2 linked regions of the Lytechinus pictus genome follow. The main gene of each other region encodes a partner of the protein of the gene in region 2 in a complex. Links are inferred from orthologs where the notes say so. Each region holds a gene or a part of one and is shown on either strand. Other genes may lie near its edges.

Region 1 (8,363 bases), on a different chromosome or scaffold from region 2:
AACCTTGTGCAGGTTAAGAAGGGCGACAAGAGTACTTGACAATTAATTGTGTTTGATAATGTATTTCATGCCTAATTCCAACAATAATGCATTCTTGATTTAATTCTTTTTTATCATTAAAACAATGAATTCACTGTACCTTTTTGAATTAAAAAAAAAAATATTTTCACAAGTAATGTTCGCTTTCACAAGGTGTGATACACTTGTGGTTTGCTCTTCATCATAGTTCAGCTTATTGTAATTATCCGTCATTCATATCCATCCATGATTATCCAATATTCACAATTTCCTTCAAGTTGGTGCACTGATCGCCTATCAATCATAAAAACTTCTTTTTTGATGGTTATTACCCTTCTGCACATGCTCAAGTTTATGATTTGATGAGCCAGGATTGATCAGGAAAATGTCCCTGCTCAAATCCTGGATAGTATTTAAGTGGAGGTTAACATGTTAAAGACAATGCAGAAATACAGCAGTGTTGCAAACTTGGAATGGCCTGAAATGCACTACTGTTGTGTAACAGTGTATGTATTCAAAACCGCTGAAGCGAGACCAATGACATTTTCAAGAAGTTAGATTATGAAATAAGCTTTCTACTCATGTACCTTTGATTAAAAATACTACATTTTGGAATTACTTCAGCCCTATGTCAGAGGGACATTTTTTGGGGGGACGTGCTGTACTTAAATCTGTGATCATGCTACAAGGGACAGTGATTTTTTGAAAATTGCCTTTTGAAACGGAAAGTGGCTTTTCAAATTGAAAATCACAGAAAACATATCTTTACTCAAAATGCATAGAACAGCAACAGAAATTACTCCAAAATCTCAACAAAATACAAATACTAACTGGCCACAAAACACGATCTCACTTCGCTACAATCATGACAATCCACACATCGTGACTGCACTTGACTCCATCACTTGATCATACATCAAAAATACATTGTACAAGCGGGTCAAACGCAAGCCCAAGCTGAAATAAGCGACCAAACATTGTTTGATTATAACCAACGTACGTAGTAGGCAGCAACACACGTTCGTGTTGCTACCCTCTAGTTCGGTGATGTAACAGCACGAACGTGGTACTCCTCAAATACAAAATGGCAGATAGGCAATAGTCGTCGACTGCTCAAAACGATGTCCAAAAATCCCCACATTATCAATAAAATTTCATTCAACCCTTAAATAATGCTAATAATGTGAAAGGTTAGGATGTATTCATATTAAATGTGTTTCTTAAAATTGTTTTGTGTTTGTATAGATCAGATTAGAGTGGATTCCAAAGCGTTGTTAGTGGCGGATACAAATTCTGACCAGCCCGAGTACTGTGACATTGCTACTCCAACGGAATTTCCATTTTTCAAACATGCTGAAACGGATTTTAAGATTTTCTGAAAAGGAAAAGGCAATTTTTTTACACAGAAATCACTTTCCCTAGATGCTACTTATTATTTATAATCACGTATTAAATTTTAGTATTTGTGAAATAATAATTTTTATCTATAAATTGTTCTTCAAGACGGCATCGCTAGTCGGAAGTACGTCATCACGAAGCGGTTCAAGGGTCAAGTCTATTGTCTTTGCTTTGTTGACAAACGGATCGAGGGATCCACGGGAGATCGGGTCTGGTAAGAAACATCTCATTTTTACCATTTATAGTGAAATAATTTTTATCCCTTTATACGCATTAGGCGCCTGAAGGTTCATAAATAAAATTGGACAATACAAACCGATTTCACCCTCTAACTATGGATTTCCTTGGGAAATCCATCTTTGTGTACATGTGTCTCTTATATGGATGGGGATTCAAGACTCCATGATGAATATGTCAAAATATTTAAAAAAAACATCATCATGGAGTCCTCAAGACTAGACTAGATCTAGCTAGCAGGCCTGGCCCATTTAGTCATTGGACCTTAACCCTTCTGTACTGTAAACGCTCTTATTTTCGCGAATTAATTTTTCACGCTTGGCGGCTTCAAAAAATATTCGCAAGTTCTTGAATTTGCGCTGCACTCTCCATAATCCAAAGTCACTTCCTTCTTCCCCATCTGTAAATGGTTTTAATTAACATTTCAGCGACGAAATTGTATATTCTGATCATAATTCTAGCTCTAAAGCGGCGTAATTCAGCATTGTTTTGATCCAATCATGAGCTTTTGTGACATTTAGCGCAACATTTCTTTGCAGGGTGGACTCGGGGAAGGCAAAACGGAGGCACTGCTGGCCTGGTATGGACGGCCGAGCACCTATAATATAAAGGACCAGGGGGATTACGGCTATTCAAAGTGCATGGGTTCAATCAACAAACCTGGGTGATCGACCCAACGTCTTCTTAAAAACTAAACAGATCTTAACACTCACCAATCTCGCACAGCAAAAGCAATTTATATTTCAACCAAATTCCAAAATCATAATTTAAATACTGATCTGCGACTATTGAAAAAATTATCTCAATGCTTTGGAACAAATTCTCGCAATGGCGTGCATGTCTTTTTATTTGTGATCGATTTTGGAGCTCAAGCTTACTTGCTTAAATGTCGCCCTCTATACAAGATCTAACAAGTTATAGGGCCTAGGTCAAAATCAAATTGTGCAATCTCTTTGCCAAAACGATACACACAATTGAACCGCGGTTCAAAACTTGCATTAAAATAGATTAGATGCTCATAAATTCGTGCTCGCCGATCTTCATCTTGCCGCAAAAATTTCCACTTTTAGTTTTACAGTAGTTGTAAAGAACTGCAGAAGCTACCACTTCCATGACTGCACTGCTACTGGGCCTGGCTTGCAATGTTGCGCTCCCTTCTAACTCTGTCTCTGCACTCACTCACGTCACTCTCACTCAACTCAGCTCATGCACTGCACTGCATGCATTGGCCAGAATATGCACAACAAATGTCAACGCCTACGGAATGGGAATGCACATTTGCCCAGCACTAACGTTACACCTTCTCCTTCACACATATCCTAGCACACAACCAAATTGCGAACTATTTAGATGTAGAATCGAATTCTATAGATTTCCAATGAAAATAGAACGCTCACCGAAAAATAAAGAACTTAACAACCAAACATCAAGTATATAAACCGGTATTCGTCCGTTGGTTCGAAGTATTTTTCTCGCAACGCATATTGTTGCTGTATTTCCGACTCACATATATTTGCTACACGTTGAAAAATTACCCAGAATCCCTTTCGATACTTGTCTGCAATATCATGCGCAGAAAACTTGTGCGCAGTTTCTAAGTCTCTTCGTCGTCTGCAGCAGCAACTACTCGGAAATCAACAGTAATTTGGGCTGTTTCTTATTGCATTTTTATTGATCTATAGAATGATATTGTATTAATACCATTATTTTTCAGTATTACTTAAGCTGTCTCATTATTCAAAGCACTATCAGGTATCGTCTAAACGTGTATATTACCGATAATTTGCGTGTTCTTGTATTTTGAAGTGACCGGTTATTACTGCTAAATTTGAGGACGTTTATTTACCTTGGACATGAATGCCGATTTTTAGCCAGCCACGGGCACGGCGGCGCGGCCGCGGTATTGATAAGATATGCATGTGCACCCGCTATGGCCTTAGACCAAAAGCTTCGGTCTCTGTTATGTTGGTTGTTCAGCTGAACTCCGTTGGCTTCACTAAAAAGCTTCGGTCTCTGTTATGTTGGTTGTTCAGCTGAACTCCGTTGGCTTCACTACCCAGGGGGGCCACTTCCATTCACGAGTGGATACCATGCGCGACCATGGGGTCTCAAAAAGCACCCTAAACACGTAATTTCCATAATCTGAAAATGCACCCCTTAACAAGTATTGGCGTGTGAAACCCTACCCTTAACAAGTATTGGAAACAAAACGAGATCATGGCAAATATTCCCTGAAATGAACCCCTAAACAAGTACAGGAATGTTTTATTGTTACGGGTCCTTCGGTCGTCAGCTTTACCTCATTTGGTTTAGTACGACCCCACCTTCTACACCTCGCGCAAATCGGACTCTAAACACGAAGTGTTGGGGCCAAAAGGACATCCTTTATAAAACATTTTAATTTTGTTTTATCATCCCCGCAAATTCGACCCTAAACACGTAATTGTCCTAGCGAAATAGATACCCTTTTTTCATTATTATTGCGTTTTTGACACCCTTATCACGTTACGTACGTAACGTGCCCTATCGTGAAAAAGACATCCTTTTTACGTGTTTTTTTGGTCGCGCATGGTATCCACTCGTCAATGTAAGTGGCCCCCCCGGGCTTCACTAACCAAATACAGAGACCGAAGTTCTAGCGCGATCTGTACAGGGGACTCAATGGCCATATGTTTATGTACTTAAGATCGGATAAAACGGGGAAGTGAATTTGCGCGACAGCCGAGGTAAGTCACTGTTTTTGTTCCTTTTAACTTGATTTTTCTCAGTTTTTTGGCAATTGATGCCAAGAGGGAATATTAATTTGCATTTTGGTCGCGTGAATTTTCAAAATTTTTACTCATTAAAGACAAAAATTGAAGAGCCCCGACGGGGGGATTTTGCATTGCAAGTCCCCTAATGGTGGCTGCACGCTAGCGAGCCGTCTGTGTATGAGGAGAAAAAAAAAAAAAAAAAAATGTTAAAAAACTCCTCGAAACAGACGGCTGCCAGCTGTCTACTATGGCCTATGCCTAGTATTATGCACTGAAATGATACATGCAATGCATAGCCATAGATCTGACTAGTAACTAGGCCTTTATCATGTGAAGCATGCCTAAAAATTAACTGTGTGTGTGGGCTGGATTTATAAAAATAGCTTTATCGCCAAAATGGTGACATTATTAGCCTAACTAACTTAAATCAACAATAGATGCTTGGAATGGGCTGAAAATTTCAGAATAAATGTTTGTAGTCTATTCCAAACTATAAATTTGTAAGATAAGTGATGTTATTTTTAAACAAACAAAAATTTTCACAAAGAATCAGCCACTTTTTTTAGAAAAAAAAGTGTCGGTTAAATTCAAAACACTTTTTTAAAGATTAAAAAAAATGTTGGATAATACTGGATTATAATTCAAGATATTTAGGTCTACCCCACCAAACTAAAAGCGTAACACAGTTTTTTTTTCAAAATGCATTTTAAAGCATGTTTTTTTTATTATTACAGTACCAACTCAACTCTGATACCTGTTATCGTGTGTTTCCTTTATTTATTTTTTTTAGATCTAGATCTAGACATCTAACGTTAGGCATAATGGCCTTCAACAAATTCATGCACCCTCGCAACCGCTATAGGGACAACAAACCAAACTTTGATGAATTAGCAAAGAAATATCCAGAGTTTGCACGTCATGTGATCAGGAACCAAACAGGCAAGGCGACCCTTGACTTCCATGATTCTGAGTCGCTGAGGTCACTAACCTGCACGCTCCTGAAGGAAGACTTTGGACTAGAGGTTGAGCTACCTCTTGATCGTCTCATCCCGACCCTGTCACTACGGCTCAACTACATTCACTGGATAGAGGATCTCTTAGCATCGACTGGCCACAGCAAAGGGACGGTGTGGGGCATTGACATTGGTGAGAATCTTCTCAAACTTTTATTTCGCTATGAATAATCAGGTGATAGTCATCTCACCCACATTTTCGCTTGCCATTCCAAAGACTCACTGGCGATCACTTATTTACTGTAACCGCATCTAAAGAATAGAAGAACATCCCCTCTTTCGTCAAATCAATGAACTTTACAGATCACTCGAAGAAAGTCCTAAAAACATTTCCTGATTTCCTGTATTTTCTTTATTTCTTCTTTATAATTAAAATTTGGTTGCCCTTTGCTTTGTAAATGCTGTTATATAATGCAGTATGGATAAAATTACTACTACTACTAAAATGCTACTTGCTAGTTATTATGGAGTGATGTACAATGTTATAAAAGAAATTCGACAAACAACTTATGATCTCCAGGAGCAATTGCAAGCCATTTAAATTTAAGTTGATCACAATTTGGCCACTGGCTAAAACAAACCCATTTGATATAGGTCTTATACAAAATGGTTGATCCACCTGTACCTGACTGTCTGATGCTGTTAAATTTTATTGCTTGAATTTATCTGCCCACAATGTTACATCGTTGTGTTATGTACAGACACTTTGTTCTGTATGGTTATGAATTGGTCTGATGCAGTTGTACAGCGTAAAAACAATTATTATCAAAGCTTGCATCTTAGATTAGATTGACCAATGCTTCTGCATTTTCTTCTGTAAAATGAATTTATTTTAATCAGTTCACACTCTGAATTTACAACGTGAAGAAAACAATAAAATCACTTCAAAAATGGAAAATTGGCAACTTTTGAAATTCTGCCATTATCACTCATTTTTCCTTGTGTTATATCTCTATTTCTTTCTTTAAAAAGTATAGTGAAAGAAAAATGTTGCCAATTTGAAGAGTAGAAGTAGATTAATCCTAACGTAATGAAAGCTGTATACCTCTACAGAATGCCTGATATCATTGTTTTTTTTTTAATATTCCAGGTTGTGGTGCATCGTGTATATATCCATTACTTGGTGCTCAGTTGAACGGATGGAACTTCATTGCATCAGAGGTAGATGCCTTGGCTATTCATTATTCTAAGGAGAACATCACAAGTAATGGACTTCAGGATAAAATAACAGGTAATAATAGATCATTCATTTATCCTCTGATTGTCTGTTTTTTTTTTAAGGAGATCCAACTACCTAATCAAGTCTTTACTATGAGTGGAAAGGTGTCATATGTTACTCCCCCTGAGATAAAATTGCCCATTGAACATTTTCATAGAAAGCATCTCCCTTGATGGAAACAAGTTCCCTCAGTGTCTCCCTAGAGATCACCTTACCCAAAGGGCAACAAATTTATATTTGAACACAAATTCCAAATTGCCTTGGAAGTTTTCCAAGAACCATGGCTCCCCTCCCCACCCCAATTCATCATTGGACAACATTTAAAACATACCACAGTGTTTTCATCATATAAAAGATTATAGAAATGTGACTTGTCTACCATGTGTTAGTATGGTTTCTTGGTTGCCCTGAAGATAGTCACATGTTGGATGGGAGGGGTTTCGATGTTCATTTAAGCAGATAAAACATCCTCATTGTTTCTGGGGTTTCCTTAAGATACCTGTATCAATCAGTACATATGATTATGAAGATTTTTTGACTTTGTAATGTTGTCTGACATTACTTAAATCAGTGAAGTATTGCTTGAAAAGCTCTTGAAAATGCGGTCTTATGCTGACAAGCAACTATGTATGTAAGTCCTGAATCCAAACTGTAATTACAGGTGATATTTTTAACCTGATTTTTTATCATTAAGTCTGTCAAAATGTAGTCATAGCTGATTGTCAAGATGCCACAATGTCAACTTGACTATTTCTTTTGCTTCTACAGTTGTGGAGACATGTGAAGGCAGTATGTTTGAAGATGTATTGAACAGCGCCCCCTCCAGACAGCATCTCTACCACTTCACGATGTGCAACCCACCCTTCTTTGGCAATTCTCTGGAAGCGCAAGGAATTATGACATCTCGCAGCATGAGTCGACCTGAGCCCAAGTCAGTGAGCACTGCTGCCGAACTGGAGATGATCTCGGAAGGAGGGGAGGTAGAATTTGTCCGTAGGATGATCGAAGAGAGTCTTCGTCTTAGGCATCAAGTTGTGTAAGTCACCAAGTGTGCTTTCAAATTAGAGTAAAAGGATGTGTATTAAGACTATCCCAGGAGACAAGAAAAACAATCTAATGAGCATGTCGTCTGTATGGATACATGTTGAGAATTTGAAAAATTAGTAAAGGGAAATAATATCTGTGGTCTTTATAGACAGATGGTTCTTGTTTACAGGTTTGACTGAACATGCAATTGATGCAACTGATCTAGATCTATGTCTGTCATCATTGTTGGTCATGACTGTTGATCTTGTATTTTTTTGCATTGTGCAGCAGTGTATCAGCACATCATAAAATAAAATGATACATGGTGAAAAGGGCAACTTGAGTATATTTTTTTCTAATATCCAATGTGGGACTTTTGTTATTTTTCATCATTCATATACTTATATAAATAGTTGTATTTCAAACATTACATTTTCACTTTATCTGCTGAATTCAACATGTTTTTGAGATTTTCAAAATTCCTTCATGATCTCTCAATCCATATATAGCTAATAACCCTTTATACATTATGAATTTTAAAGGGAAAACTTAGTTCCATCAAAACATACTCAATTATTTCAGTTAGTTACAGTTAATATTTCACAGAATACATTAGTTTGAATGGGTATGAAATAATAATGATATATGATGTCTCTTGTTTCTTTTTCATTAGGTGGTACACATCGATGCTGGGGAAAA
Region 2 (7,982 bases):
AAGACTAGAATATAATATCTTGCTGTTTCCTGAGCAAGAGGGCCTTCAGTACACAAGGCATGAGTAGGCTGCACATTCAGACCCTAAACTCGAGTGAAGGCTTTGCACAGCAGACAAGGGCAAACCCTTCACTCAAGGAAAGTGGTCTGAATAAGCAGCCTAAGGTTTCTGCCAATGACTTGTGTACAGGAGGTCCTTTTGTTCAACAGAAAGTTGTATTCGTGCTAGTCTTGTGTGAAGTCTCACTTGTGGATCAACGTTTCAATAAGGGTCTGTGCATGCAGACTACATGTAGGGGGCAATGTTCTCTTAATAACATGCTATTATATAATGGCAGGTTCTCACATAAAAAACAATAACATTTAAAGACAAATGAAAAAAAAGTGTAATGCAAAGTATTATTTTTTTCATGTTGAATTGAAAAGCTTCATTTTGTACATAATGCTCCATCATGTTACTACATATACCGGGTACATGTACTATAATGTATTTATGTACAGTTTGATGAATATTTTATACCCTAGGCAATTTAAAAAATGAAGAATAGTAAAAATACAAATGGAAAATATGATATTTTAGGATATCAATTTATAATTTTGCATTTAAAAAGAGAATTTATCACTTTTTGTGAAAAAATGAAAATTCCTGAAAATTCCCGAAACTTTAAATGGAAATTTTCCAAAATTTCCGGAAAGTTTCCAGTCCTTTGCAACCCTATTCACCTCCCTGTTTTATCCGAACTTATATACATAAACATATGGCCATTGAGTCCCCTGTACAGATCGCGCTAGAACTTCGGTCTCTGTATTTGGTGAGTGAAGCCAACGGAGTTCAGCTGAACAACCAACATAACAGAGACCGAAGCTTTTGGTCTAATTTCTTCATTGCCATGTATATTTCAGTTATTAATGAGTTCATTCTCACCAAATTTAGACTCCCCCATAGAGAAATGCGATTTTCGTGGAGATCTGCATTTTCAAAGAACTTCAGGAAAAGTTAGGGTATGTGGGCCTTTATTACATGGCCGAGTACAGGTTATTGTACTGGAATAGATGGAGTAGAAATTAGATATTGAATTCATTTATATCCAAGTTCAACTCACAGTCACACCCACATCCAAGATTCTAAGCATGAAAAAACTAACTTAAAAAGTCATACAATATTAAAACTCATTAATAAGTGAACTGTCAAAAAACCTGGACTCACAATGCAGACTTCATGTTACCGCGTTCGCACTCATTTTTTCCCCTGAAAATTTTGCGCGATCTTTTCTTTAACACTACAACGCATTTGATTGGATTAAATACAGTACGGTAGATGCAGAGTGGGACATGTGGGAGGAGCTACATGTAGCCTGGAGGCGTCTGGGGAGTAAAAGTCATCTACTCTACGTAGGCTTACTCCCCACTTACGCCTGGGACGCCAAGGTATATTCACGCAAGTACGGCCACAAAACCTGAAACTTTCGCCCCCGAGATTTCTACTTTCCCTCTAAAAGATCTAGCCCTAAAACATGTACATGGAGTTCAACATTTCTGCGATATCGATTTTGGTTTTAAAGAAGAATTCAATAAAAAAACAAGAAAAATGTTATGAAAAGATGGGAAGAGCTTACGGCCGTCTTTAGGTCGCCATCTTGATTTCTTTGTCTTCCGCTTGGCGACAGCACGCAAATTGCGCTGTCGCCAAGCGGAAGACAAAGAAATCAAGATGGCGACGTAAACACGGCCGTCAGCACTTCCCATCTTTTCATAACATTTTTCTCGTTTTTTTATTGAATTCTTCTTTAAAAACAAAATCGATATCACAGAAATGTTGGAAATGAAGTTGAACCCCATGTATAGTCACGTATAGACAGGAATAACCGTCGTTTCTGGGGATTTATTCAACAATTTCTGACATTTTACTATAATCCCCATTTGTGAGTGAGCCAACGCAGTTCAGCGGAACAACCAAAATACAGAGACTGAAGCTTTTGGTCTAAGTCACGTATTGTATTACCGGACACTATTATGTTACCGGACGCGCGTATCACTGCGTTCTAAAACAAATTCGTACCGTAAGACTTCCGCAATTCAATTTCACAGAGCAATACATAGAACAAGATTGCAAAAACAAGGCGAAAAATCAAACTTTTACCTAATTATCTCTAAAAATTACAGAAAATGCTTAAAATATCATATAACATAGTTTTGTATTAACAATTGATATATTTTCTAACGGAAATATGGTCCTGATTTGCCGAATTTCAATCTCGTCCACTCCTTCGATCGAATGATGAGGTGTGGTGTATTGTGGGTGATCGTCGACGGCTAGTTCTCAAGGTACCCGTGCGCGAGGTTTACCGTGAGTAGAGCCGTCGATTGGCAGCGCATCGATAGAACTTGATGAGCGTCACGATACGAACGCGAGCATATTATTATTGGAAAGTGCCATGGAACATGCAGCTAACAAGACAAAATAAAATAAGTTATCAAACACGAATTTATTACCAACATCTGCTCAGATTCGATATAAAAAAAGCAAATAATACTTAGAATTTACTCATGATATGATATAAGAAAAAAATCACAAAAATTTGTTCTTACATCATTATAATCAAGGATATCTTTACCCGTCCGGCGCGCGTCCGGAATCATGATGTAATTTGTCGCGCACAAAAATAATTGTTTTTTGTGGAGGGGTATGCGACAAGTGCGATGCAAAGAAAACGGTTGGTAAATATAAAATAATTTTATCATATTCATAATTTTCATATTTGGAATAGCAAGTGTGAATTTTTCTTGATTGTATTTCCTCTAGTTGTCATTTTTAAAGCACTGAAATAAAGGTGTCCGGCAATGCCAATAGCCTAGGATACACTGCCATACATGTTTTACTTAGGGCTAGATCTTTTTTTTTTTAGAGGGAAAGTAGAAATCTCGGGAGCCAAAGTTTCAGGTTTTGTGGCCGTACGTGCGTGAATATACCTTGGCGTCCCAGGCGTCAGTGGGGAGTAAGCCTACGGCTACGTAGAGTAGATGACTTATACTTCCCCAGACGCCTCCAGGCTAGGACTCTACTAGGACTCGGAGTAGGAGCAAGGAGCTGAAGATAACACGAAATGATGATAACAACATGGTTATCAGAATACCGATTTGGGGGTATGTTAGGGGCGTGTTAAATCAGAGACATAACAACGATATTTAACACCAAAGTTAACACGATTTTCAGAATACCGCCCCACTACTAGTAGTAGGATGGGGGATCGGGTGTCCGGACACTTTATATTTTTGAAGCCTTCTTTTTTGTCATTGGATTACACTACAAATACGAAATCAATAGTTGTAATCATCTTCTATTTTGTTCTCTATAATATTTCCTGACATTTTGTACTAAAAATTGATAAAACTTTCCTTGTAAATTTTTCCAAATGACTTTCTAAAATTGATCGTCCGGACACACAACCTGTCCGGACACACAACAACTGGGTATACACTACTAGTACTACTAGGCCAGGGCCTACCTCTTTTGCCATCTGAAGCTCCTGTTTACAAGTTTCATAGAGTAAATCAAGGTCTTCATATTGCTGCTTTATTGCCTGCTTTTCTTCAAGAACAACTAAACCGTATTCAGCAGCCTGTATTTTCTCTCTGCTGGCCAAAGCGAGTTCCTCTTTCAAACGGCTGATTTCAACCCGTAACTCTTCGATGGTTTCCGAACCATCGTCCGAGTCGAACATGGCGAATGACTGCATTTTCAACAGCAAGTGATACCGGTAATGTTGGACTTGGAGCCGGCTAGACTCGGGTGGCCTGCACTCCTTGGCTCTGTGGTGACAATACCACTCGAGTTTCACAGTCGATCCACAAGGTTAATGACGAATCCAGCGTCCTGGACTTCACCCGTTTTCATCCTTGAATTTTGGAGATCATTGTGCTTCTTATAAAAAACAACACCGATGCTGAAAAGGTGAAATTTGAAGGTTTCTTAGTCCTGGGTCTATGGTACAATCGCAGACTCGCGACAATGCAACATACGGGAATGTAGTGAACGTTTCCTACGCGCGCGCATTATGCATTTGATTTATAGCGCAATATGCGCTAGCGCCAGGAAACTCTGCATGAGTCGGTTTTGTATTAGCAAAGATCGGGGGCGTATCCGCCCAGAGATTCCGAACTAGCTCAAAACCACATCTCTATGCTCAAAACTGAGCAAGCGCATCGCATCCGTACGTTTTCTCTCTGGTCATCGATATCGTATCTGTACGGTATGCCGTATACACGGTATCTGGAGCTGGAGTTCACCCCGCGTGCGTCTGCGCCATGGGCCATAGGTTTGCGCATGCATATAAGTGGGCGTGGGCGTGTCCTTAAAAGCCGTAAGTGGTACAATTTTAACGTTAGATATCTACTTTTTATGAAAAATAAATTAATGAGGAATAAAACAAAAATATGATGGGGCAAACCCCTCAAAGCAGCGTCCTTATTCGATAGCTCCTCTGAGATTGAATGTTCGAACAGTTTTTCCTCTCTACTTGAGGACAAGTCTCCCTTCTTCGCACCAATTGCTATATGTCCTCACCAACGAGTACGAGTGGTGACAAACCTTCACCTTCTCGTAAGAAGTCCCCGCAATCTGGTAATAGGAAACTGAGAGCTGTAGTCATCAATTTCCAAGGTCTCAGAAGCAAAGTCGAACCCCTATCCAATCTTATAAATTCTGTTCATCCAGATATAATATTTGGAACTGAAACTTGGGGAAATGATACTATTTCTAACTCTGAGCTTTTTCTAACACATCTTGATACGTATGGCGGAAAGACCGCAATGATGGTCATGGAGGTGTCCTCATTGCAGTTAGGAAAACGCTGCTCGCAGTAGCTCTTCCTGAATATGACGCTGATTGCGAAGTACTTTTGGACTAAGCTGAGGTCCCATGGCCAGAAAGATGTATATCTCGGAGTGTTTTACAACCCCATTATATAATGATCCTAATATGGCCTCCCTGGGCTTGAAGTTTCCTTGGGTAAACTTCCTCCTGATGCTTACAAGGTACTTGCTGGTGATTTTAACATGCCGGACATTGATTGGGACTCTGATTCAGTCAAGCCTTGCCCTGCAAGAGTCTACAAAAGTAGTACCCAACCATGCACCCTTCTTCTTGATATTGCTAGCCACCATAATCTCCAACAGGTCGTGAACTTCCCAACGAGACAACAGCATATGCTAGATCTTTTATTTACTACTAATCCTACATTGATTGACTCTGTTAAGCCGATTCCAGGGATCAGCGATCATGATTCTGTTGTTCAGATTGACTTCACTGGTACTGTCAAACATCAAAAAAGTAAAGCTCACAGAGTCTACAATTATAAGAAGGCAAACTTTGATAAGATCAGAACTGAGCTTTAGTCCTTTTCTGAAGAATTCTTCATCAACAGTCCTGGTACCAAGTCTGTCAATTTGAACTGGGAATCATTGACATGTAAATTGACATACCTAAAAGAGAAGTATATCCCTAGTAAGATGAGCAGTACTAGATTCAACCTGCCTTACATCACTAGGGAAATTAAGAGCAAGATCAGACAGAAGCATCGTGTATATAACCGTGCTCTCAAAAGTCAATCTCAGGAAGATTCCCAGTGAGCAAAATATATGGGGCCCATATGGGTTACTTGTGGGCTTATCAGGGCTAAAAATGTGGGCCCCATATGGGTTGCCAATGTGGGCTATGTATGGGCCCATCTGGGCCCCTTGTGTTTTTTGCACCGTACACCCCGTCTGGGGCCCATATGGGCCAGGGTTTCGCGTGGGGTAAATATGGGCAGGCCCACATCGTACCCATGTAAACCATATGGGGCCCATTTGGGCTATGTATGGCCCCACTTGGCCAATCTGGGACCCATATGTACACCCTATGTGGGGCCCATTTGGGCCAAGTGGGTTTAGTGTGGGTTGAATATGGGCAGGCCCACATTGCTCCCATATGGGCCCCATATGGATTTCCCATGTGGGCTATGTATGGCCCCACTTGGCCCATCTGGGACCCATGTGTTTTTTGCACCGTACACCCCGTCTGGGGCCCATATGGGCCAGGGTTTCGCGTGGGGTAAATATGGGCAGGCCCACATCGTACCCATGTAAACCATATGGGACCCATTTGGGCTATGTATGGCCCCACTTGGCCAATCTGGGACCCATATGTACACCCTATGTGGGGCCCATTTGGGCCAAGTGGGTTTAGTGTGGGTTGAATATGGGCAGGCCCACATTGCTCCCATATGGGCCCCATATGAAAACAATACTGTGTTTTTATATGGGTCCCATGTGGGCCATGTGGGTCCACGATGTTTTAATCAATTAAAAAAAATATATTAATTTGTATCATTAAGGTGACTTTCTATACAACCCAATACTCTAATCCTTATCATTTTATCATATCCTATAATCCTACATTCTAACCCTAAATCCTAATCCTATCCTATCCTACACCTAACCACTGAATCTTGTTATTGACTTCTATATATAGAGCGAGTTTGCTATACTTGACAGGCTATGGTTAATAACAATTTTCAATATTTAACCTTGAAAATTTTCTCCTGAAATTAAATGTTTTGATTTTTAATTTCATGGTAATAAATTACATACTTTTCTGAAACTTTTCATGGTGGAATCCTTGCTTAAACATAAACATATTAATTGTTGTAGCCGTATTAGCTAAAATTTTGATCATTTACTGTTGTAATGAATATTCATGAGTGCAGTCCAGATCGATCATCCAGAGATATTGAGCTCAGATGTGACCCATCTGGGTCCCAGAAGGCTTATCTGGTACATATGGGCCCAGATATAACCCAGATGGGTCCCACATATTTTAGCCCATCTGGGTCCCACTTGGAAATGCCCATCTCCAGCCCAGATGATATTCATCTGGTACATATGGGCCCAGATATAACCCAGATGGGCCCCATGTGGACCTACCCACTTCTAGCCCATATGGTTTCCATATGGGCCATATGGGTCCCAGATAACCCACATTGGACCCATATGGGTCCCAGATATTTTGCTATCTGGGCGTGTTCTCCTTTGAAAATTCAAAATTTTTCTTTATTTTAAGATGCACGATTAGAACCTAACCTGTGAATTGTAAGATCACAAACATTTTTTTTTATCCGTAAGCTATTTATCATCAATCGAATTAGCCGTATACATAGGCCCGGTACATAGGGTACCCGATAAATCCCTAAAATCAACACTAAACATGTGATTTCTAGAAAAGGCAGGCATTCCAAAGCGAACTTTTATGGGGTTGAGTTCTCATCATAAGTGTATCAAAAAATGTGAAAATGAAGAAAATCTTTTTTTTTCTTCTTCTTTCCCCCCCCCCCTTTTTTTACCCCTTCGAGATTTACCAACAATGTGAAATATACCTTGATTACTATCTATGTCGAGCTTTAAAATACATGATCGGATTTTAGTGTCAAGTAACAAATGCAAAGGCTAAGCCTAACCTACTAATTAACATTTATCAATCAAACATGAAAATAAAGAACGGATTTTGTCAAAAGCTAGAAATATCTATGAAAGATATAGGTTATTCTCATATTTGGGAAAACCTAAATGACCTAAACGACATCAAGTTAAATCAGTGGGTACAGTTTCAGGAAGATAGATACTGGAAGAGAATTATTGTAGTAAACTGAGAACGTATATAAAGACCTTAAACGTAGGCCCTACATAGAGAAATATTTATAACTAGACATTGATAATCTATAAGTTAGGAATTATTTGAAGATAAGAATTAGCAATTGTAAATTTATGAATGAACAAGGGCGACAAAAACAACTAGAAATCAATCAACGTACTCGCGCCCATCCTTAACCCGCAACAAGAAAAATTATGATAATAGGCCTATACCATAGTGCCGTCATTTAGAGAACTGAGCGAATCAGGTTACTTCTTGTACATCATGCAAATAAAAGTAATGATTACGATATAAGT

The links.
Region 1: protein bicaudal D homolog 1-like (region 2) and lissencephaly-1 homolog share a complex: the UniProt entries of both Caenorhabditis elegans proteins name them as parts of the dynein-regulating complex. The link is inferred for Lytechinus pictus from reciprocal best matches to the Caenorhabditis elegans genes bicd-1 and lis-1.

The regions. Positions count from the first base shown.
Region 1 is NC_087246.1:17,019,068-17,027,430, forward strand, and holds the start of lissencephaly-1 homolog, read right to left. Parts: upstream 3,196-8,363; 5' UTR 3,051-3,195; exon of another isoform or gene 2,548-3,050; intron 1-2,547. Other genes in the region: RNA N6-adenosine-methyltransferase mettl16-like, read left to right, coding at 3,337-3,344, 5,197-5,552, 6,510-6,650, 7,407-7,674, 8,338-8,363. UniProt on the Caenorhabditis elegans protein: Positively regulates the activity of the minus-end directed microtubule motor protein dynein. May enhance dynein-mediated microtubule sliding by targeting dynein to the microtubule plus end.
Region 2 is NC_087247.1:56,905,356-56,913,337, reverse strand, and holds the start of protein bicaudal D homolog 1-like, read right to left. Parts: upstream 3,737-7,982; coding exon 3,506-3,736; intron 1-3,505. UniProt on the Caenorhabditis elegans protein: Part of a complex with dlc-1 and egal-1, which is recruited to the nuclear envelope by unc-83, where in turn, it recruits dynein to the nuclear surface and regulates nuclear migration in hypodermal precursor cells.